4 linked regions of the Drosophila melanogaster genome follow. The protein of the gene in region 1 interacts with the protein of each later gene in a pairwise test. Each region holds a gene or a part of one and is shown in the gene's direction. Other genes may lie near its edges. The genes, in order: Trs33, Elys, Dlip2 and CG5011.

What was found.
Region 2: the proteins of Trs33 (region 1) and Elys interact in a two-hybrid assay, tested with the Drosophila melanogaster proteins (one large-scale study listed by BioGRID).
Region 3: the proteins of Trs33 (region 1) and Dlip2 interact in a two-hybrid assay, tested with the Drosophila melanogaster proteins (one large-scale study listed by BioGRID).
Region 4: the proteins of Trs33 (region 1) and CG5011 interact in a two-hybrid assay, tested with the Drosophila melanogaster proteins (one large-scale study listed by BioGRID).

Annotation. Positions count from the first base shown.
Region 1 is NT_033777.3:15,348,843-15,353,463, reverse strand, and holds Trs33 (TRAPP subunit 33), read left to right. Parts: upstream 1-2,468; 5' UTR 2,469-2,543; coding exon 2,544-2,612; intron 2,613-2,680; coding exon 2,681-3,070; 3' UTR 3,071-3,119; downstream 3,120-4,621. Other genes in the region: Tmtc4 (transmembrane O-mannosyltransferase targeting cadherins 4), read right to left, coding at 1-2,113; CG42727 (uncharacterized protein), read right to left, coding at 3,126-3,761; CG42726 (uncharacterized protein), read right to left, coding at 3,961-4,621.
Region 2 is NC_004354.4:19,649,644-19,659,387, forward strand, and holds the start of Elys (elys), read left to right. Parts: upstream 1-2,661; 5' UTR 2,662-2,812; coding exon 2,813-2,915; intron 2,916-2,983; coding exon 2,984-3,619; intron 3,620-3,678; coding exon 3,679-3,995; intron 3,996-4,049; coding exon 4,050-4,413; intron 4,414-4,482; coding exon 4,483-4,673; intron 4,674-4,808; coding exon 4,809-5,585; intron 5,586-5,654; coding exon 5,655-9,602; 3' UTR 9,603-9,744. Other genes in the region: Ranbp21, read right to left, coding at 1-1,657.
Region 3 is NT_033777.3:4,643,240-4,648,531, reverse strand, and holds Dlip2 (dorsal interacting protein 2), read left to right. Parts: upstream 1-2,876; 5' UTR 2,877-2,963; coding exon 2,964-3,351; intron 3,352-3,455; coding exon 3,456-3,748; 3' UTR 3,749-3,883; downstream 3,884-5,292. Other genes in the region: rpk (ripped pocket), read right to left, coding at 394-1,137, 1,194-1,786, 1,854-1,956, 2,202-2,468; MED31 (mediator complex subunit 31), read right to left, coding at 5,285-5,292; nuclease slx1, read right to left, coding at 4,108-4,988.
Region 4 is NT_033779.5:1,197,972-1,202,460, forward strand, and holds CG5011 (uncharacterized protein), read left to right. Parts: upstream 1-2,699; 5' UTR 2,700-2,888; coding exon 2,889-3,131; 3' UTR 3,132-3,249; downstream 3,250-4,489. Other genes in the region: CG5139 (uncharacterized protein), read right to left, coding at 628-1,167; CG43348 (uncharacterized protein), read left to right, coding at 1,479-1,607; CG43349 (uncharacterized protein), read left to right, coding at 2,269-2,481.

The DNA of each region.
Region 1 (4,621 bases):
TCTGCATGACTTGCGCCTCCCTTTCCAGGCGTTTTAAGAGCTTGCTGAGATTCTCCCGGGCTGTCGTTGCTCTAGCCGCACTAATACTTATTGCAGTCCGATAAGCCTCTATAGCCTCCTGCGTCTTGTCCCAGCGATGATAGAGAACTCCGAGATTCGTGTGGTACAATGTGTTGTGGGGCTCCAGCTCAATAACGCGCTTGTAGATCGCCTCCGCCTCCGTATAATGTTTTAATTTGCCAAGCACGTTTGCTCGAATGAAAAGGATACTGACATCGTTGGGTAGATGTTGGAGAGCCTGATTAGAGATGCGCAAGGCGTCATCCTGCAACCCCTTGTTGTCCAGCATTGTCAGAATGTTAGCCCAGGCTTTTGGCTGGCGGGGATTTAGTGCCACAGCATGCTGCCAATGATGAAGCGCTTCGGCGTAACGTTTCTGCTCCAGATACAGATTGCCCATGTTGTAGTAGCAGACGGCGAAATTGGCTCTGTACTTCAGGGCCTTCTCATAGCTGGCCAGAGCCTTGTCGTACTTTCCCTGAGCCGACTGCACAATGCCGAGATTCATCCAAGCCGCTGGAAATGCGGGATACGCCTGCAAAGCCAATCGAATGTATTCCTCGGCGGTGGATAGTTGACCGTGCTCCCGATACAGGTTGCCGAGGTTCATAAGAGCTGACTCATAGTTCGGATACAATTCAATGGCCCTGTGGTAGTGCTGAAAGGCTTTCGTATTGTTTCCCATATCAGTGGCCAGTCGGGCTATGTTATAGTGTACCTTGGCATTGTCAGGACACACCTGTAGCGCGGACTTGAACAACTGCTCCTCGTTAAGCCAGTCAGTAGCTCGCTGCCGAGTCCGTACCATCATAACCGAAAAGAGCAGCATTAAAAGAATCCGTAGAGCAGTGCGCCAGTGGGTGTTTTCCGTACTGCTGTCATACCAATATAAGAATCCATAGATGGACAGCAGGCAAAAGCCAATGGAGGGTACATAGAGCGTCCGTTCGGCAATCACGAATCCTACGCAAATGATTCCCGACGCGGGCAGGAACGGGACGATCATTAAACCCAGAGCTAACATCATTCCGGGCAGCCGTCGGAAGTTCATCAGAGCCACCAATACGATGGAGTAGAATCCGATGACGCCCTGCAGTCTCAGATCCCAGATGTTGGTCACCAACTTGACGCAACCCAATGCCCAGTCGTAGCATAGCCAGTGGGGGCACAGCATCAGCCAGATGTTCATGACCAGCAGATACTGCTGGGAGAGCCCACGGGTCAGCACGTGCTCATTGTGCGCAACGGGGTTGTCAACTTCCTTGAAGGTAGGCGTCTCAAAGTCCTGCCACCAAAGGCGAGCCGTCAGCAGACCCAAGGTACCCAGCAAGTAGAACAAGTAGCTGATCCGGGTGCGCAAAAGACTCCACTGATCCTTGAATCGCAGATGATAGTAGCCGTTTTGAAAGTAATCCAATAGTACACACGACATGGGGATGGTCACAGCGGACTCCTTGAACAGCATTCCCACAGCGGTGAGCAGCATGATTAGACCGCCAGTCTGTGGACCAAGTCTTCCGGTATTGGCCACGGTCAGCAGAAGACACAACAAGTGAATCATGCCGAACATGAGCTCGGCCCTTCCAACCACACCAGAAACCGCCTCTGTGTGAATTGGATGGGCGGCAAATAGAGCAGCGGAGAGGATGGCCCATCTTGCCGTGCTGACCTCCGGAACATAGAGAGAGCGAATCAATCGCCACATGAGCAGCGTGTTGACGCAGTGTAGCAGGAGGTTTAGGAACTTCATGTGGGCGGCACTTAGCCCCAGAAGGGCATACTCGCAATGGAACATCAGGGTGGTCAGTGGCCGAAATGATTTGTGGGAATCGGAACTGAGCAAGGAAGCACCCCAGAAGTCGTGCGTGAAGATCGCCGTCCAGTTGGTGGGCAGTGAGTTGACATCCCGGTTCTTGACGATGGCCACCGTATCATCGAAGACAAACTTCGCTCCACTGAGGCCACCGCATCCGTAGCATAGCAAACAGATTAACACTAGGATTGCCTGACAGACCATGCTATGCAGCGTGGCTTTGTGAACGAGGTCTAGCATACTGGATTATTTACTAATTGTCAATTGTTCAAGTTTAATTCACTTATTCTGCGAATTTTAATCGGAATTGTTTTGTATACATTTTTTGTTGTGTTTTTGTCCAAACACCCCCTCACTGAATAGTGATGCCAGATCAGCGATAGAAATGTGTGCAGCTTAGCTAAATATATGCATCGAAAAATATATGGTTATAAAATGATTTGAAATTACGCTAAATAGATCTATCAAATCTGCTCATTTTAGAGTATTCATATTAAAATAATTATACATACTCTTGATATTAAAGTATAAATAATAGTAATAACAATAAACCACTAAAAGCAAACAAGACATTCGCCCGTTAACGCTTGCAACAGCTGTTTAAATCTAGATCAAAACAAATCCGAGGAAAAATTTGTTGAACTCACAAAGAAAAATTAAATCCTCGAAAATGTCTGAAGAAATCCTTTTCGATTGCCTCCATGCAGAGATAGTCAATTATTGTCTGGATAGCAATAAGGTAGGAACACGAGGGACGCAAAAAAAAATCAGTCATACAACCGATTTTGATTTGGTTCCGCCTATTAGGAGCACGACCTGGCCACTTTGGAGTATATAGGCTTCACCACCGGCTACCGCCTGATTGAGCGGCTCACCCGTGAAGTTTCGCGTTTTAAGGACGAGTTGGAGACTATGAAGTTTATATGCACCGACTTCTGGATGCTTATATACAAGAAGCAAGTGGACAACCTGAGGACGAACAACCACGGAATGTACGTTGTGCAGGACAAGGCTTTCCGCTTTCTGACTCGCATCTCGCCGGGCACCAAGCAGCTGGAGCACGCGCCCAAGTTCGTGGCCTTCACGTGCGGGCTGGTGCGAGGAGCTCTCAGCAATCTAGGCATTAACAGCACCGTGACGGCCGAAGTGCAAAGCATACCCGCCTGCAAGTTTCACATAGAAGTGAACAGGAACTAATTAGGATGTAAGGCAATGGTTTATTACTACAATTATAGAGATACTACAGACTAGACTAGGCTATCTTTTCGTAGAATGCCACAATGTTGTGGTCAGTCCAGTTAAGGCGTTCTCGCAGGATCCACTGGTCGATGGGCAGTTGGGGCTGGGCGGGATTGGGATCTGTGTGGATTCCCAGGGCGGGCAATGGTCCAATCAATATAAGCCACTTTCCTTGATACACATTTAGATAGTCCAGAAAAGCTCCTCGATTGTTGAAGTAGCAGAAGAGCAAGGCACACGGATGAACGTCACTGCAGCATTTGGTCAATAAATCCGTATCCAGTTGGCTGGCATCCTCTAAATAGTTAAGCGGTATAAAACTTCGAACGGAGTACTTGCTCTGCCACCAGTTGCGATCGACCTCCAAGCCAAACATGGGGACTTTCCGACCTCCAGACACTGTCATAAGCCATTCCAAAAGCCCACTGCCGCAGCCGATGCTCAAAACTCGCTGGATGTCGTGCATGGCTAGCAGCTGATTAAAGTAGTCCAAGTCCACCGATGTCGGCCACATCCAGAGCAGCTTGCGCTTGAGCTGTTGGTCCAGGCAGTCGCCCAGGACAAGCAACTTGCGCCAGTTGCACGACGCATCATCAGTTAGGTAATAAATTTCACGCAGTGTCTCGAGTTCCGATTGCTCGTCCATCATATTGAATACTGTTAGTTGCAAATTAAGCGGTCTTGCTGCTTCCGATGGCCGGTGAACTTGGCAGTGACGCCGGCACGCGGAAATATGGCTAGCGGCCAACAAGATTGCTGCGGTTCGCTTCGGTTCGCAGCACCTGACTGATCTCTAATAAATTAGAGGACCCCTTTGAAAAAGGGCCAACTCATTAGAGATCATATCGTCACTTTGTGTTTTCTTCTTTTTGGTACCAATATTTGAAATTCTTGCGCCAGTGCATCTCGCTAAATTTGGAGCTACCTTGCCCCGGGACACGCGGCTGGTGATGTTGCATGGCTGGTTCTTGGGCATCGGGGCTAGGTTCGCTAGAGTATTCCTCGTTGTCCAGATCCAAGATGATCTTGCGATACAGCTGGACATTCTCCTCTGGCATTACATCTGGCAGAGGCAGATGCTCTGGGACAGCTTTCCCTTTCTCCATCTGCAGTTCAGGGAGTTGAGATGGCAGTGGCGTAGATTGCAGCAACATCACTGGCTCAACGTTGCCCACACTCTGGATCACACTGTTGTATCTTACAGTCTGAGATGGTCTTTCTTCCGCCGTCGTGGCCTCCTGAGCACTGGACCTCGGTGTAACCATTTCAACAGTACTGGCAAACGCACAACCAGGGTGCATGGATCGCAGATGTCGCAGCATGTTGTCCTTTCGGTTGATAGTGATGTCACATTGGATACAGCGGTAGCGTTCGGCAGTCTTGTGTTGTCTTAAATGTCGGCCCAGAGCATCCGGATCATTGTAGCTTTTGCCGCACAGGGAACAGGACTGACGTTCGCGATTTGAGTGGCGCTTCATGTGCAGCCGAAGCGTGGTTTGTCGCAGAAAG
Region 2 (9,744 bases), on another chromosome or scaffold:
AGTATGTCAGCGGATTGATTGTCTCCAGTTTGAGGCATTCTTCCAAGAGTCGCAGTCCTGCCGGCACAGATGGGCGTTCCGCCACGAGGAGAATGCGGCTTAGCACGCCGTCCAACACACTGACCAGCGCATCCCATTCCAGGTATACTGGATCCAGAACGCTGCACGACACGTTGCCGCTCTTGACCTCCGCGTCCGCTTCAATCTGCGCGTTTCGCAGTCGTTGCTGCAGCCACTGTTCGCAGTAGCCATACGTGACCAACGGCTGCACCAGGGTGGCCAGGCGGAAAATCTCAAGGAAGTCGGTCCGGCAGCGGAAAAAGTAGAGCGCGTACTCCTCTTCACTATCGTGTTCTAGTCGAATATATGCCTCCGTGGAGAGGCTGGCAGGCGAGCTAGCGGAGGCAGGATATGGCAGCTTCACGATCCTGGGCGCAATCGTGTGGATGAGCTTGGGAATGTAGTTGACCATGGCGAAGTCTTTGGAGGAGGGCTCATGCTTAAGCAGCAGCTGCCAAATGAGCGCCGACCCATGCGAGAGGCCCAGCGATGGATGCTGGACGAGCAGCAATAGGCATTCGAGAAGGACTTCCAGGTGCACTGGTCGTTGCGTGGCGTCGTCCTTGCCCCAAAGCGCCACCAGTTGCTGCGCCATGCCGTTCAGCACTTGCAGCAACTTCTTAAGGAAGTTGAGGTGCTGCTCGACGGCCAGTGTGGAACTTGTGTCGGCCGGTATCTGACTGGCCTGGTAGATGTAGCGCAGCGGCTCCTCGTTGAACAGCTGAAGCAACGGCTTTCGCTCCTTGGTCTGGCCCTTGCGGTTCGTGATCTGCGCCAGGCACTCGGCCGCATTGCATTGGAATGCTTTGTCGTTGAGCAGGATGCAGAGGAAGTGCATCAGTTTGCCATTGCTGGACATGATGTGCTGGATGCTGACCCACTCGACGAAGCCGCTCAGCGTGAGCAGTACCATCTCGACGACACGGCTGTGCGCGTTCGCCTTGGTGTAGTTGCACAGACGCGTTGTCTCGCGGAACGCAGTCACATGCTGCTCCACCAGGCGCAGGAAGAACTCGAAGATGTCGTTCATGTTGTTGTTTAGCGCCTGGTACATGTCCTTTCGCCGCTGATTCGACTCGATTGTCTGTAATAGGGCCACGTCCTCCACCAGTCGCAAGAAGACCAGAAGCACCAGCTCCGTTTGGGCCTCGCCCTTGGTGCAGGCCTGGCTTAGCTCCGGCAGCAGGTCGGACCACTGCTGCGGCCACTCGCGCTTGATCATCTCGACGATGATGCGCGACAGCGCGTCCTTCGTGGGCAGCAGCGAGCGGTCCTCCGCCGGGCCCACGCCCACGTTCAGCATCTTGATGGCATTGTCCTTAATGTACACCTTCTCCTCGTGCGTAATGCAATTCCATCGGTACTTGATTGTGTACTCGATCAGCTGCAGGCCAAAGTGTCGCACTTGCTGGTTAGACTGCGGCGAGCTGGCCAGGAATAGGCCCACCTGGGCGCACATTGGCGACTCCTCCTTAAACCGCTCACAGGCCATGTAGGCCTCCAGGCGCGCCTGTTGCTGTGTCATCGGGTTCATGACTAGATCGATGGCCGAGGCCAGTTCGGCGGCCAGAGCCTCGGTGCCTCCGTGCTGGGACATCGCTAGCTAGCGTCTACCTGTGGGTATTGCGTTAGATTGGAATTGAAACAAATTTCCTGGGTGCGGCTTCTTCCTGCAACGGGCGCCATGTGCTCCACTTACCTCTGCTTGCCCCTGCCCACCGCTCGAAACCCAAATCTCGCCTAGCCTCTCGATCTCCGCCGCGATCCCCTCGTGCGTTGTCTGTGACCAATGCTTTTGTGGAGCCAGCCAACCAGCCAGCGAGCCAGACAACGTTTTGGAAGATTAAAAGAGCTGCCGCTACCTGTGTGCGTGTGTGCTATGTGCTATGTGCTGTGTGTTGTGTGGTCTGTTCCGTGTGCGAAATGCGGAATGCGTGAGCTGGGATTGTGGTGTGTTGGTGTTCTGGTTGGGATTGCCTGTGGGCACCGATGATCGCCCTGGGTAGCGCCTATTGCCTGGAACACAGCCTCTGGTCAGGTCTCTCACATTTGAGTCGCATATAGAAGTAGACCACTACTGAAACCGCTTTTCCGGCTGGGTTGTTTTAGAACAATGTGCAGCAAATCGCACGGGACAGGGTTGACAAGCGGCGCACGAAAGTTGCCAGATAGTATTGTTGCTATTGTATGTACTAAGAGCTTGACTCGGAGCTATATATGCCTGAATTGAGTGATACAAGGCATTACGCTTCAAGGTTGCTACTATCTGTGTTCATTCGGACTTCAAATGCAAAGCCAGCCGGTTGAGTTCCTTATGAAATTCGCGCAATATTTTCGCAATTCTGCAGCGTTGCCAGTCTGCTGGTGTTGAAGTTGCCAGGCTGCAAGTGCCGGCTTCTAGTCTTTTCTTCAAATGATTGGCTTGCCTCTCAGTTACAAACTTGTTTAAGCATGTATATAGAAAAAATTGAAAATGTACAGAAATATATGGTAACTAGTAACTCAAGTCCTTGCCATCGCTAAATTTGCGAATCTCTGTCGGACGTTAGCCAGCACTGGGCCACTCAGCGTGCATACACGACAAGCAAAACAACGGTTTTTTTGTATGCCAAATCGAGGCGGCAACGCCAGGCCGCTCAGGCACTCACACACTCACGCACACACAAAACATACACGCCGATCAATCGGTGCAAGAGCGCTGTATTTATAATTTTATTTTTATTTGCAAGCGGCCGGCATTGATGAAATAGAGATGGAGTGGCACGAAGTGGAGTTGGACGGTAGCCGCACGATTGCGTTCCCGGAGCGCATAGTACCCGGATTTGGCCGGGAGCCGTCGGCACATTTGGACGCCGGTAAGTGTGCACAAAATACGGCGTGTGCCGAAACCGATTCACCAAGAATCTCCGCTATCCCTTTACAGCCGAATACCTGGGCGGCATCATACGCGACGGGCAATGGGGCTGGGTGACCTGGCGGTATGGAAGCGATGCCACTTTGCTGGTCTGCAGCATGTCCACCGGCGATTACCTTTCTTGGCACTGCTTCTGGAGCGAATCCGATGATCTGGGGCCGCGCAAAAGCATTCGCTGCGTGGAGGAGCTCTTCCCCGGCGAACACGAACGCCCCGCTATGCTAGCCATCTGCCTGGAGTCATGGAACAGCGGCGATCAGAGACCCATCGACTGCCCGTTGAGCACGCAGGTGCTCATCTATGCCATTCGCAACAGTCAGGTGCTCCGCCGCTTCGACCTTCACGGTATAACGTGCAGCGCGCTGACGTTCCTCGATAAAAGAATCTATGGACTCACGCGACTGAGACGGTTTAAAGGCTGTCTGGCCGTGGCCACCGAGGAAGGCACTGTGCTGTTGGTTGATCTGAACAGCGACAGCCTGCAGGCGAGTACCCAAAGGCGCAGCCTTTGCTCCCCCAGTTCCAAAGATGAGCCGTCGGACGGGAACCTATACTTTGTATCCTCCGAGGAGTCCAAGAGGCAACTCAGCTCCAAGCTGACCCATTGTCGCTCCAAAGGGGCTCACTTGGCTGTGCGGATGGACGGTGAGTCTGTCACTGCCAGTGTGCCATGGTAGCTAGGTTAACCTTCAATTTACCAACAGTGGCATCCATTGGAATCAGTTGCCTTATGGGCATTAGCATGGCGCCCGGCTATGCTGCTGGTCTAGAAGACGGCCGAATCCTGATCTACGACCTAATCAACTTCGACGTGACCACTGATCTGAATTCGCCAGTAAAAAGGAAAGGGGTCAATAGAGCAGTGAAGCGAATGTGCCTCATTATGCCACCGGATGACCCCAAACCCTGTTTCTACATCTGTGCATTGTACCAAAATATCGACGTCCTGCAAATGATGCTGCACTCGGTCTGCTACAGGGGCTCGTACCGGGACCGGGAAACCCACACGATCCGTTTTAAGGTGAGAAATCTTGAGCCGTCACGCACAGACCAATATTGACTTCTTGCTTCGCAGGACTACCGTTCTAGAACCGTGCGCAACCGCCAAATCTTGGACGGAGGCATCTGCTCCGTGATCGGCTGCGCCACGGCGTCTACTTTCAGTTTTGCCGGCGACAACGGAACGCTGCTGATTGTCATCTCGTGGCACTCAAGTGCAGATAAAAAGAACAAGCTAGTCCTGTTCGACATTAATCAGTGGTACAAGGATGAGATGCCCACATCCGTTCACAAAAACGAAGTTCCTAATTACATGTCCGGCTACATACTCAGTGGTCTACAGACGGGACTGGCATTGGATTTGCGTTCCACCACCATATTGCACTTTGTCTCACTGCAGCGCTACGATGAGCACTTTTATCCCAACTCACTAACCTTTGGTAAGTGACAGCGGTGATTGAAGCCAGCGCCAGTAAGATTAATAGCCAAGTAATACCGTCTATTTCCAGATTGCTCACTGTTAACTCCAACTGGCAAACGGTACTACGCCCAGGACGGAGTGCAGCATCGGTTTCTGAACGCACTTCGCTGTGATCGTGCCACGCTCTTTTTGCGTCCTCAGATCTACCACGAGGACATCGTTCGCCTGCGTCTCCTGCCACAATTTTGTGAGCTTAACCCTAACGCCACATTCTCTAAGGTGAGCTACACACTAGGTTATTATTATCAGTTATCCGGAAATCTTCTGGTATCATATAGTACCACAGTCTTTGGGGAAATGAATCATGCTCGTTATACTCGTTTTAAAGTAACATTGCATTATCTTGCTCTCTAGATTGCCATGTACGAGTTGATACTGTCGGTGGCCCTGGAGCACAACTGCGGAGCTTTGCTTAACGACTGCGCACGGAGTTGGATGGATGGCAGCTTCTTGTGCAACATGATTGATAACACGCAACTCTCCTTGTCCACGCTGACCAACTGGATCTTGAAGCGCGCCGGACAGATCAAGACGAGGTGCTCGGAACTTTGCCATGGCATCTTTGATTACGGCGGCTATCCACTGGACCAGCGGGAACGGCGCGAGTTTCAAGTGCTATCCGGTCAGCTGCGTGAATTGGTACGATTGCAGTCCTACATTGTCGAGCAGGGACGGCGCAGGCTAACCTCCTCAATTTTGGACGATTGCCGTGCCAACGAGAGGGCGCTGAAAACGGTTCTCGAGTACCAAAGAGTGCTGCTTTGGTTTATCGATCACGGCCTCCTGCCGGAGGGTCAGCACATGGATAATCTGGTACCCGGCGAGCAGGCCTTCGTTCGCCTGCAACACGAGTACTCGGAAAAACGAGCGCAGGGAAAGATCCTCTACATTGATTCTCTGGGAAAACGCGCCTCCTTTCCGGAACCCTATCCGCCGGACTCGCTGCATGCGTATATACACTTGATGCTCAGTCCCGACATAGAACTCTGTCACAAACATGCTCTTATCCTCTACCTGCTGATGGACCTGAACCAACAGCTGGTCGGGCGCTTTCAGATTGCCTTTCAGCTGGACAAAGATCTGGCCACGTCATTGCGCTGCTTCTGGTACTTGGACCACGGCGATTACGAGGTGAGTTCGGATCGGTTAATATAAGCGAAAGTGTTATATTCATTCGTTTTGTGATGTATTTGATTACAGCGAGGCGTAGAGGAGCTATACAAGGAGCCTGCCCCCGCTAAGAACTTGAAATCGTGGCAGATGCGGCTGTTAATAGATAAACTGCTGGCTGAAGGTGCCGTCAAGGCAGCCAAGAAGGTGGTCAGTCGACCACCCGGTCCATTGTCCTCGGCGCTGCACATGAAAGTGCTCCTAGCCAACGAAAACATAACGGAAGCATTCCAAATCGCTCGCCTCGACGACGACGAGGATGGACAGCCGCTGCTGGAGCGCTTCTTCCGCCACTGCATTGAAATCAGACGCTTCAAAGTTTTGGCCGAGCTGTACCTGCGAGAGCCAGAGGAACGGCTGTTGTACAGTCTACTGCGCCAGTGCAGATCGCGTCAGACGGATTGCGTGCAATTGATAATGCTGCTTCAAAAGAGCAAGTTCATCGAGGCCGTGTCCTTTATGGATGAGGTGGCCGCCGAGCGGGAGCGAGATGAATCATCCAATACAATACTCCCAGCATACAGCGCTACAATGGGACCAGTTACACAGAACATCGCCGGCACGTATCTTCGCATCAGAGACACCTTGGAGCCCTACCAAAAGACCGGTCCCTTGGAGCCATTCAGCTGCCAGCTGGTCAAACAGAACGCCAGCGGCCAATTGGGCGGCATCTTTCAGAGTTCTGCCGTCAGTGCCCACTGGGCAACGCAATGCGAGTCCCCTCCAAAGATGACTCCCGTTTCGATCCAATCAAAAATAGGCTACACCAATGTGCCATTCCTGCGGCACGCGCAATACGGACATTCGGAGCTTCCACTTCCTCGGCGCATAGTAAAGCCGGTACCACACCAGGTGGTGGAGAAACGACAGCGGGAGCTAGAGGATCAGCGTACCAATCTACAGGACCAGAGGCAGCTAGGCACGGAGCGTCCCAATAAGCGTCCTTGTCTGATGGTTGAACGAATGGTGGAGGATGTTAAAGACTATGTGAGATCCATTCGAGAAAAAAGTTCGAACCAAATGGAGCAGGAAGAGGTCAAGCAAAACGAGGCGACCAATCTATTGCAGCCGCCAAATTTCCTCCAGGCGCGACAGTCGACGACGATACGCCAGAGCAGCAGTTCGCCACAGCCGATTCCACCGATCCTGAAGGGAAGCGGGGCCGTGGATGCCGTTAAGAGAGCTCCGCCGGTGGCTACATTCACAGCGCTGGCGGGGCCAAAAAGATTTCGCTTTGTGCCGCCCATTCCTCTGCGAACTGATAAATCTGATAAATCGACGGAGATGGGCAGCGAAGGTGCGGCTGAGGGTGAGGAGGAAACTGACGAGATCATTGTGGAGATCGAGTCAAGAAGCGAACCAAGGAGCGCCTGCAGCTATGAGTCCGACGAGGAGGATGAGTTCCTCTCGCCTTTAGTATCGGCCAATGTGTCTTTGGTGGATCCGGTACCATCGCGGAATTCTCCTCATTATTTCGCCCCACCAGCAGGACCACAGCCCCGAAACTCATTGCTACATGGGGGAAATGGAAGCGGTAGCAAGATTGGTACTGCAACAGGGAGCGAGAGTAGTAGTGGATTCGGTAGCTTCAGCACTGTCCAGCCGGCTCAGACGTCATCACATTCCCAGTTTGTGCCCACCGTCTGCTCGTCCAAGATGGGCGAGACGCAGTCACAGGTCTTCTCCAGCGGCAGCTGTGGGATTAAGATTTCCGAGCGCACTACCATCTGTGGCGAAATGGAATCCACCGATCTTGGTGCAGAATTGACGGCCGCACCCAGCGCACAGTGGTCTCTGCCATCAGCAAGGCCGGCTATACAGGGGCACCACCAGATGATGGACACCACGCTGGGAATGTCCACTTACGATGTGGCGTCACTTGAGCAGCAAGATACTCAGGATGTGGAGAACGAAGAGGAACTGAAGCTGGGTGACACAAAATCGCTTGAGGAGCAACAGAATCCACAGGACGAGCAGAAGCCGGAGCAAGAGCAGGATCAGGATGAGGATCAGGCGCAGGAGCCTTTGGCGACCGGTGGTCAGCTGGCGTTCCTAAGCAACTCAGAAGGAACGGCCCAGGAGCCCCTCTCCTCGCCCATCTACAGCCTCAGTAGCGAAGACTCGAACGTGTCCTCGGCCGGCATTCGGAATCCCATGCTGCCAACACTGCACACCGATGACCCAATGTACTCCATCGTTGTTGAGTCGCCGGGCTCCATAACCACATCCCGATCGGTTACGCACACGCCCACCTCATTCCTGCCCAGCGACACGAACGTATCACAGACATCTAGTCCGCAGGCACCTCATGGCGAGGATGGAGATGGCACGCCGATCTCATTGTACCGCGCCAATAGTCTGGAAACGGTTGACGACCTGGACACCACCAAGGGCTCGCTGGAGGAAGAGGAGGAGTACGACGATGATGATTGCGTCATAGCGCTGGATGGAACAGAAGTGCGCGGCTATGTCGCCCGACCCCAGCAATCGGCGGCCTCCAGCAGTGCGGAGCTGTTCGCCTTCAAGGACGAATGTCAGGAGGAGGCGGCTGGTGTCCCCAGTCCATTCCTTTCGCTGGGCGCCACGGTCAACAGCGACTCGGATGTGGCCGACACCATTGTCCTAGATAGCGATGAGGAGACGGCGAAGGAAAAGGATACTCAGCCGGAGCAGCGAAAGGATTGGCCAATGGAGGAGGAGACCCCGAGCAACGAGTCAGTGGCCACAGTTGAGTTTAGCGAGCAAAAGCAGCCACGTGCCGATATGGATATCGGGATGGAAGTGGATGCGGTGCCGGACGTGCTGGAGGTGCTGGAGGTGCCGGAGATGGAACCCTTGCCAGTACTTTCCGATGTGGATATCGAGATGGCGGTGGATGAGGTGCCGAACGTGCTGGAGGTGCTGGAGGTGCCGGAGTTGGAACCCTTGCCAGCAGGGCAAGCAACGCAGTCTAGTGGTCTTGGGGAAATTCCAGAAGAGGATGTCGACGCAGAAGCCGAAGAGCAGGTCGTTGTGAAGGTCGAACATGTGGCGGATGAGCAGCCCAAAGAAGGAGACAAGACGGAGAGCAAGGAAGCTTCCGAGGAGGAAACCCAACATAATCCAGAACCACTATTGCCCGAAGAGGAGGATTCAAGACACAGCCTGAAGCTGATTTTCTCCGGTGATGAGGATGAGGAGGAGCAAGATGTGCCAACACGGGCGATTCATACATTGCGACCGCGTCGCAGCTTCACGGAGCACCAGGACAGTCCGCGAACTCTGCGACCTCGTCGCGTCTCCCAGGAGCATCGCGATAGTCCGACTCCAGTCGCTGGTCGCACGATGTCTTTGCGCAGCACCGACGCCCCAACTTTATCGCCCGCATCCAATCCACCAGTCTCGACTCCCAAGCGTCGTGGGTTGCAGCACAAATATCTGCTGGAGGTGATCGACGAGCATAGTCCCTCGGACCTTTCGTTACCGCGCACCCGCTCGCGAACGCGCCTCAGCGTGGACTCGGAGGCAACGAGCTCCAGACCCGGCACGCCCACAATGACCAAGGCACGCGGCAAGAGGGCCACCTCGCAGGCACCGCCGACGGCGAGTCCCTCTGTCCGGCGATCATTGCGCGGCCACAGCGAACCGCCCGCTGCGTTGAGTGCGCAGTTGGTGCGCAAACCGAAGACTGCTCGTGCGGGGGTCAGATCGCGCAAGACGAGCTCAGGCGTCCAGTCACCAGTCGCCGTCTCTCCGACTCCGATCGATGCTCCCATAGATGTACCCGATTCAACTGCACCAGAGGAGGAGCAGCCGCGTCTCCGTCGCACCGCTAGGCGACGCATCTCGGAACTGAGCGATCAGTCTGCGAATGGCACAGGTGACCTTCGCTCGGAAGCCTCCAGTTCTAGGACCGGCTCTAAGTCCAACTCTGCCGCCAGCACGCAGAACCGGGAGCTACGTCCGCGCTTGCGTCGCACCTCCAAGTCGGAGCATTAGTTATGCACCCGGATCACCGGATCAGCAGACTCAGAATCGGCTCGGAAGGCACTGTATTTTTATTTTTTACTTTGCTTACGTTTAATATTTTTAATTTTAGTTTGGCATTAGTTTGAGTGTTTAAATAAATTGAAGTTAATGT
Region 3 (5,292 bases), about 11 Mb from region 1:
AAGATAGCATAAACGTGGAAGATGGTGTCCATATGGGCCTGATAAATAATATATATGAAATATATATCCAAAATTGGGTCGCATTTGAAGAGTTTAAGACATTCAGCTGAAGGATGTCCTTGCGGAAGACTCGACACAGATTGGAATCAATAAATTCAGCCGATTCTGAGTTATATAATGACATTATGACATCGAAGCCACTGTTGAAAATGTTCGGGAAGACTGACTCCGTCTTGGTTTTTATGTCAGCTATGTTTTGAAATTACCTAGTATGGCATATATTGAAAAATTTCTGCTAGACTAAGCATTAGTATAAATATGTATATAACTAGTTCAAACCACAATTTTTGGAACCATAAGAATTGTTCGCACTTACGAAATAGTGCTAATGGGTTATCCTTTAACCAGGCGCTTCAGATTGGTAAAGAGCCGCAACGTGAAGTGGTAGATCATTTCCACAAGACTCAAGATGGAGAACCCCATGAATAGACCGAAAATGCCACCGCAATTCGCCAGAAACTCGGTCATTCCGTAAAGCTCCGACCGCTTTGAAGTGATGAACTGACTCTGCTTGAAGTAAATGGACAAGCGGGACATCTGGGAGCCGGGATACTCCTTCAGGAACTCAGTGTCGCCCTCAGCCACTAGCATTTCTTCCAAATCAAAGTTGGCCTGGGAAATCTCCGTGTTGTAGACGAGGGATGTGCATGCTGGCATGCAGTTACAGGCAGATTCCACGCTCCGCGAATTTTCTCGGCCAGCGTTCAGCGCTTTTACTCTTTTGAATTCCCTGACTAACAACTCCCTTTCTGCCCGATCGTAGCAGTGGATCTTGTCCTCTCCGCATACAGGCATGTCCACGTTTCTGGGCATCGAGAACTTAACGCATCCGCACTTGGTCAGCGTGAAGTTGGCCAAGCACTCCAGTTGGCAATTTGATTCGGTGTACACCTTAAAAAAACGCAGCGACCGCTCGTGGCTGAGGAAGCACTGCCTCCGAACTGGATGGTACTCTGCTATTCCCGACGACATGGTGATCATGTTGGGCTTCACTGCGATCAGCACCTCCTTGCCCATGGGAATGCGCACAAACTGTTTGGAAACCTGCGGGACGTCATCGGGCGCATGAAGCAGTACCTGTAGATTGGCATTACTGTAGACACATATTGGAGCAAGAAAAAGCAAACAGCTACGTTTTCAAATTTTCCCACCTTAAATCCCTGCACAGGTCCTCGACAGGCGTAGTCCACCTCCTGCTTAAAGCTTTGGAGGGCCAAGAAAATGCCAGATCGCGCTCCGGCACTTAAGACACGAGCCGGAAAGGTCTCCACATCGCTGTCCAGTGCATAGCCCGTTTCCAGAGTCCAGGCCGTATGCTGCGAGCTAATATTTTCCATTTCCAGGGGCTCCCCGCTGTGTTGATACTGATAGGTGTCGTCCCGGTATATCTCAGTGGCTCTCAGCCCATTGAACGTATAGCAGATGCCCTCCTCCGTAAGAGTCTTTCGGAAGAAGGTCTCGCACTCGCCGAAACGACTAAGCCAGCGGCAGTAAAAGAAGTACCGATCAAACTGGGGCAGCATCCGCTGCAGAACATCAAAGTAGTCCAAGTCATCGCCGGCTATCAAGGGTATGTCCTCTTCAATGATCTGCGTGTTGCATACGTGCAGCAGGGTGCGGAACTCCTCCATCTCAAGGGCACTAACGTTTTCGGGCCTAAACACCCGCGAAGCTCGCATATCTTCGCTGAACTGGCTGTAAAGATCAGCATAAGTGGTCTCTTTTCCTGTCAGACAAAGGTTACATGTTAATATTCATAGTCTGTACAACTAGAGGCTTCCCGAATAACAAACCTTTCTGCTTTAGCACCCTTTTGGTCTCCGAGCAAACTGTGACCGCCGGAAACGGGATGTTCCACACGGGGGTCGATTTTTCCGCGAAGCTAACGATCACAGGCTTTAAAAAAACGCAAAATATTAGTTTTGTTGTCGGCTGAAGGCAGCAAGAGCACTTTTCATTTTACAGAAGACCCTGTAGTGTTCTTATATTTATAAAACATAACAGTTAGGGTGCATAATATATCGCATAATACATCGCAATTTTGAAGGATCTGTACTTTAAATGCTATTGTTTCAGAGAGCTTTTACTGATGCTACGTATATACATATGTATGTATGGTATGTTCTACTAGGGACTCGCACCGTTTCGGTCCACTTGGTGTAGGCACTTTGAATCAGCGTGGAGCAGCCGTAGATCGAGATCAGGAACACGAACAGCCAAAAGATGCGCTCGCGGAAGGGGCGCTCCTGCTCGCCAAGATATTGGACACCATGTATGGAAGTGTTCCTGCAGTATTCATGGTACGTGGTGATAAATCCTTCGCAGGCGACGGAACCTGCCTTCCTTCTCCTCCTGAATGTCAGGTCGATGCCCTTGCTGCTGTCGAGTTCCGAATCCGATATGGTCATGGTGTCTATTCCATTCTTGACGCGCACAAACACAGCTTCAAGTAATCCATGTGGGTTGGAGACGAAAACAACGTGAAAGACAAATGGCAAAACGAGAATTTTTTCCCGTTTCTTGGCAGACCTGCCAGATTGACAGGATCTTGGAGAGAACTTGCAAAAAAACGTTCGGATGGTGACAATTTAGCGATATATTTTACTTCCGAATTAAATTAAATTTTGTTGAAATTAACAAAAACGAAAAACAGGTACATATTTGCTGCAACTTTATTAATTGTCATTGTTAACACGTTATCCCAATTCATTATTTGCACATTCGCCTGTGTTGTTAAAAATTAAAACTCCAAAGAAAAATATTTCAAAACGCAGAAAAGTGGAAACGAGTTGAAAATCCAAATCCTCGTTACGCCTCGATATGTATCGATAACGAATGCTTCGTACACGATTTGTACTGTTTACTTAATTATTAAGATTCGTAATTATTTAAATTTATTTAAAATGGCGACAAGGTCTTGTGCGTACAAGGACTGTGAATACTATTACGTAGGCCACGAAAACGCGCTGACCAAAGGAAGAACCCTGTTTGCCTTTCCCAAACAACCGCAAAGGGCGAGAATCTGGCACGAAAACGGCCAAGTGCATCCAAAGATTCCCCATAGCCAGCTTTTTATGTGCTCCCTTCACTTTGACCGCAAGTTCATATCCTCCTCTAAGAACCGAACGCTCCTCGTCGGCGAGGCAGTGCCGTTTCCGTACGAGGAAAGCAGTAGCAAGCCGGAGGAGGAGCCCCAACAAGTGGCTTCCACTTCGCATGAGAGCTACTATATAAACCTGAGCGACGATGAGCTCAGCATCAACAATGTGGACACTACCTCAGTTACTACAAGTAAGTACTATAAATCCACCGGGCCTTCGAAATAGAGCGGGTTGGATTCATCATGTCGGTGTTGCATCTTAATGCTTTATTAACTTCTTTAACATTATTTTCAGTTGACGCAGTCCACGATAGTCCACCGCAGAAGCGCCCGAAGGAATCTTCCATTGTCATTGCTCTAAAGGAAGCTGTGAAAATGGAACCCAATCCGAATGCAGGCCGAGTTAGAGCAGAACCCGACAATATAGATACTACTGAAGTGTCTGTGTTCAACTTCAAGGGACAGGAGTACGTACAAATGTCTATGGAGTATTACTTGCAGGAAAAGCGGAAAATGGCTAAACTTTTGCAAGACTATAAAAATGCTTTAAGAAGCATTAAGAAACATATTTCCCACCTTGACCTTTAACTTTATCAATGTAATACATGTTGTTCTTCTGTCAATTTACTGAACGTTATCTTAGTTTAAAAGCACCTGACGAATTGGGAAACAAACCTAATAATTTATTTTATTATACTTGGAGAATAAATACTGATAAATATTAATTAATTTGTTACACTTTAAATTTCAGCATTTAATTTCTTTCGTTTAAACCTTAAATACCGCAAACAAATCTAAATTATACTCAGTATTATCTATTGGAAATATTTTTAAAGTATTTAGTTAAAATGTTTACTTTTACAAGCGCATTAAGATGGTGTTTGCCTAGATACTTTTAGCTTATGCGATACCTTAGCATTTGTAAATAAAATGAAATGGGTCCTCAACTAATCGCTGAGCTCCGGGGTATCTTCAATATCGCTGTCTACATCAATGTCGTCGCTCAGATCCTCGTCATGATCCTGCAGTTCTTCAGGCACGCCCAAAAGAAGACGTTTGCGCTGCAGCAGTGCTGCCCAGCTGAGACGAGTCTCACAAAGCGGACACTCTCCTCCAACTGGGATGTAATGACCTGGCTCGTCGCCCAGAAGGTAATTGGCCAGGCACACCATATGGCATGTCAGCCGACACATTTGATTTGTGCATCCCAGGCGGGATTTCTCCGGTTGCTCCATTTCCTGCATACAAAGGTGGCACTCGGAAGCCCACGCCACAGGTGGAGGAGGTACTGCATCATCAGGTCTCCTACGTTGTGAGGCACTAATGGAAACCTTGCCACTCACAATTTCCATGTGTTTAGGCAGTGCCTTGCTGAATGGCCTCTCGTAATCCGTTTCTAGCCAGCGAACGGTGAGCGGTAATCTATTCCAAGGGCCAACCCCCAGCATATTACTAAGGATCCTAAAGTTGTAGTCAAAGAACGTCTCCCTGGGCAGTTTTCGTTTTAATTCAGGGTACATTTTAAGCCTAGTTGAAAGCGACGGCTGTTGCCAAGCCCATTCAAACTGGAGTGCCACTGTATTATTCGGGAATCCGTGCACGATCATTACCATCAGCCACGGCCCTTTGCGACTGGTTTTCCTCGCGCCACCGAAATCACAACCAAGATTGTGTTGGCGTATCCGCCGTTTGGGGTTCACGGTGAAGCCCACGTAGCATTTTCCCCGGTAGCGAGGATCCAAGCTCTGACTGCATAGCAAATAGACGCCGTAGAAGTGGCCCTTCAGCGCGACGGATTCCTCCTGTTGAGAAGCTGTGTCCTGTGGGTCTGTGAATTCACCAACAGATAGATTAATGAAACTTGCTTTGTGTCTGCAACCAAAAACCAACGACAAAGGAGGCGACACCCTAACTAAAGCAATGAGATGAGGTTTTCAAGATTTTCTAAAATAAAAAAAGAAATAAAATTATTTTAGAATTTTAGTTTGGCTAAAATAGCTAAGAAAATAAGGTGTGTTAAGTGGTAGCTGTTTCTCAGCCAAAAAGGAAGATAATAAATGGAATGCAAAATAACTTGTTCCAGGTTCTTATACTATTTTATTGGTAAACTTTTAGTTGCCAGCGCTAGTTTA
Region 4 (4,489 bases), on another chromosome or scaffold:
AAATCACAGAAAATCATCGACAACTGGCAAATGTGTGAATTGAATTTTCAAACAATTTCGCCCGTGCAGGGAGTGCAGTGCTCGTCATCGGATTGCTATCCTGGTTTCGGTTTCTGCTCCTGGCGCTTTTCCCCTGCGCGGCGCATTTCCCCGGCTTTCCCGCTGGCCACGATGGAAACGTGCATGATTTGAGATTTGATTTGGGCGGCGGCCACATTACAGTCGCTAAACCTCGGCTTCCGTCCCGTCGTCCTGGCATCCTGCGCTTCAAAAGGCGCGTTTTAAACATTTCGCTCACGTCTCGGATGTTTATGCCATTAGCGTTTAAGTTGCCCATACAAAGTGCGACTCGTAGGTAAGCAAACGTTCCTTTGTTTTGGCTTCCTTGCCTGTTTTTATTGTCGAGAGACAGAGGTAATCGATGCTCAGGCTAGTTATTGAAAAAATTATCGAGGAAAACCCGAGGTACAACTCAAATAAATTCAATGAAATTGTTACTAGCCAGCAAATAGCTGTTGCTGTTCATTTGGACAAGTACAATTTATTTATTATCACATAAAATGCTTGCTACAAACTTTGAAGCTTTGTGAAAGCCCAAAAATATGCTATATACAATCACGAACAAATTTATCTGCACTCTATGCAACACGCTGAGCAGCAGCAGTGGTAACATTCCATGTCTGGATACAGATCCTGTTCCTCAACCTGTTCCTGATCCTGTTCCTGCTCCTGGTCGTACATCCTCTTCCGCCTGGCTGACCGATACAGTCGCCGGATGAGAGCTCCATATGGTTTCCGCGCCATCAGGTGAGTGGTTGTCTTGTGTATTTCGTAGACGCAATTCGTTTCGAGACACACAAAAGGCTCCTCCACCTGCAGGATAGTTTCCGATCTGAGATTGGGTACTGGCATTGGTAGCAGACTCCTCTGTTTCAAGATATTGATCTTGCTCTTCTTGACCACCCTCCTTTTCTTGGCAGGATTGGGTGCTGTAATGGCACCTTGGATCTCCGCCTCGAAGGATTCCTGGCGCCTGGAGGCCTTGCTCTTCAAGGCCGAAACCGTTTTGTATCGGTTCTGGATATCGGTAATGTTTCTCAAGGTCTGCTTAAAAGCAACCTCGACTTGCTCGACTTCCTGCAGCGTATTCCACAGATTCTTTTCCATAATTTGTTCACGAGAAAATTTTATACAATAAAAAATTTGAATACAAGAATGCACACTCCTCCCACTTCAAAAGATCATACGAATATACAAATCCTGTTCGATTGAAAAATCAGGGAAGCTAGATGTGTGATTTTCTCGTTGCGTTGTCATAGGGAAATTCCGATATGACCACCAAGTACTCACCTTATCGCAAAACAGGCTGATAAAATGTTTTAATGGGAAAACCAATGCCTCCAGCAGTCTTTCGTCACTATATATAGCGTGGAAATCGGGGTAATACTTTAGTTCAGAACGGAAATCGCTTTGGAAACATGCCACCACCACCGCACCAGCCCCACCAACCGCACCCACCGAAGGGTCCTGCGCATCCTGGGGATCACCAACCAGGACCGCATCCCCCTCACCACGGAGATCCGAAGCCCCATCACGGACATCACTAGGCCCATGGACAAGGACTATAAATAAGATTCAATTTTATACAGAACAAAACAAGATGGATACTTTTTAGGGAACTTAGTTTCTAATAGAAAGTCTTAAAAACTCTTCAAACCAAAGAAATAAAAGCCTGTACAAAATACATAGCTCTACTCTTTTCTATATCTTCAATGTTTATGATCTTGAATTGGTGATACTGCTTAATGCATTCTAAGCTTCCATTAATTTGAACAAAGCATACATATGATTTGAAGATCTAAATGCTTTTTAAATTATAATACACGTCCTAAGTGCAACGTACTAAGCTTAAGAATTTGTTGCTGATTGTTGCTGATTGTTGCTTACAAAAATAAAATATTATAACATCTCCATATTGTTGTACTTATGAACTACATGCAAAGTCGTCATTAACTTATTCTTTAAGTCACATATAGACATATCAGTAAACAATTCGCTTGTTTGTTATTACTAATTTCGAATGTCATACATTTGTTTTTATTGAGCGAAGTGTTGTTGTGGGAAAACCCGAAACTTACTTATCAACCGAACTGGGCTCGTCTTATCTGAAATTTAGATAAGATTACAACGTATTCGAATCATTTTCCTATAAATGGTTTGACAGGATAGGCTTTAGCTTAGTACTCAACTAAAGTCAGAAAAGTCAAGATGCCACCTCCACCGCACCACGACCACCACCATCATCATGGGCCACCACACCATGGACCTCCCCACCATGGGCCACCGCACCATGGTCCTCCACACCACGGGCCACCGCATCACGGGCCACCACACCACGGACCGCCGCACCATGGACCTCCGCACCACGACCACCATCATCATGGACCACCACACCACGGTCCTCCAATGCATCCTCGATGAGAACTATAATACAATATAAGCCGAATTTAACGTTATAAACTGATATGGAAAAACTTAATCGTTAACTGTGATTAAGCCACAAACTAACATTAAAATATCTTCACTAACTTCTAGTTAGTTTCACCAAGAGCAAAATGTTTTTATTTTAGAAATTGTTTAATTTTATAACACCATTATAAAGATACTGATTCTAATAAGCAATTAGAAGAATATTGAAGCAAGAATTGATTAAGTATGATTAAGTATCAAAAAGCCAGCAGATAAGGTAGACAATTATATATAAAAGAAAGTCCCTCTCCACTAGAATGCAGATAAGATTACAGCCTACTGAAACTATGTTACTTTTGTATAAAAGGTCTGGCAGGAGTGAGCCAGTTTAGTGTACAACAGAAGCCCGCCAAGCAAAGATGCCTCCTCCACCACCGCACCACCACCACAACCCGCCGCCTCATGGGCCACCGCCCCACGGACCACCGCACCATGGACCTCCGCACCATGAACCACAGCCCCCGTTCCACACGCCAGTGCATCCGATTTACCACGAACCTCCTCACGGAAACAGCTCCGGCTACAATCCTCCGCCGCCGCATGGTCCGTATCCATATGGTCCAGGATACGTGGCCCCAGGACCTCCAATGCATCCGCGATAAGAACTGAACTGTAATCTAGATCGGTTAATATAGTGTGATATCAACAAATGTACATTTGTGTGTGATTAAAAAATATGCTGCTTTTAAATATATAAACTAACTTTAGTTAGTCACGCCTATGTGTGATTCAAGTTTTATTACTTGTAGCTTCTATGCCAACAAACAATCCCATTTCGAGTATGATGATATATGCGCCTAATAAGATAAGGACGGTTTTTTGGAATTCCCATAGGACCGTCATAAAGATAATCCATTGAAAAAGTCGTCATTCTTTAGGTGCGTTATGATAGCTTATTTTCGGGTACTATCAAATTCTTGAGGTAACACGTCATTACTAATATTTCACTAGGAAAACAATCAATCAATCAGTCAATCAATCACTGGATTCTTTATTAATACGTGGGCTTATCGTATTAGTCGAATGTCATGAATTCTTAACTGAGCATATCTTTGATTTATTGGCTCTTTTCCATTCCATTTGTTCAAGAATAATATTTTTGTTTTTATTTTGAACGCTGAACTATTAGTAATCATGCATATAAACCTGTTGTAAACCTTATCAATGAGTTACTTCAACTCAACGCTAGATAAAGCTGTGCAATCTTATCGATAGGAAATACGCATTTGCTTACATTAGTCAGAACCTAACTTAGATTGTTGAGGTGATTTTTGGGGTACGCCACTGTTGATTTTTAGGGAAAGTACAAAGGGATGATATAATATATAACTTTAAAGACTTATTTAGAATATAACAGTATTTTAACAGTGCTACTTAATAATGGGAGCACATAGACAAAATTTGTTTTTAAAAAGAATATATTACTCATCCGCCACGTTGGCTGATATGGTTATGACCTTCTGGCTGGATAACTAGTGTAATACATGCGATTTTCGCAATAGACCCACCCCGTTTGTGACCGCAATCACTCAGGCGTTTAATAATTGACTGCATCTGCGGTCGAATCCCAATCGAATCGGGGTGGGTGGGTTGTTTAATGGAACAGACCCGGGTAAAAATCAAGCAAACGGCAAATAAAATTTATAACAAATCTAACACACATACATCATTTTGATATGGCCACGGACACGTTCCGTCCGTCTATTTGCTTAAGGATGGATGCTTCTTCGGGTGGCAGCACATGGACATGGACGCGGTCCGGACTGCGGAGCATCCACAGCTGAAGCAAGAGCTGTAGTTGGAGCTAAAGCTGAAGCTAGTGCTGGAGCTGGAGCTGGAGCTGGGGGCAACTTCAGCCGGGGCAGACACATTAATTTTGCTGCTCGCTTTCCTAACCGCATGCAATTTTTCTTGGCTCGCTCTCCGTCGGCTATCGGCTTTCAATGGCAGGAAGCGCACC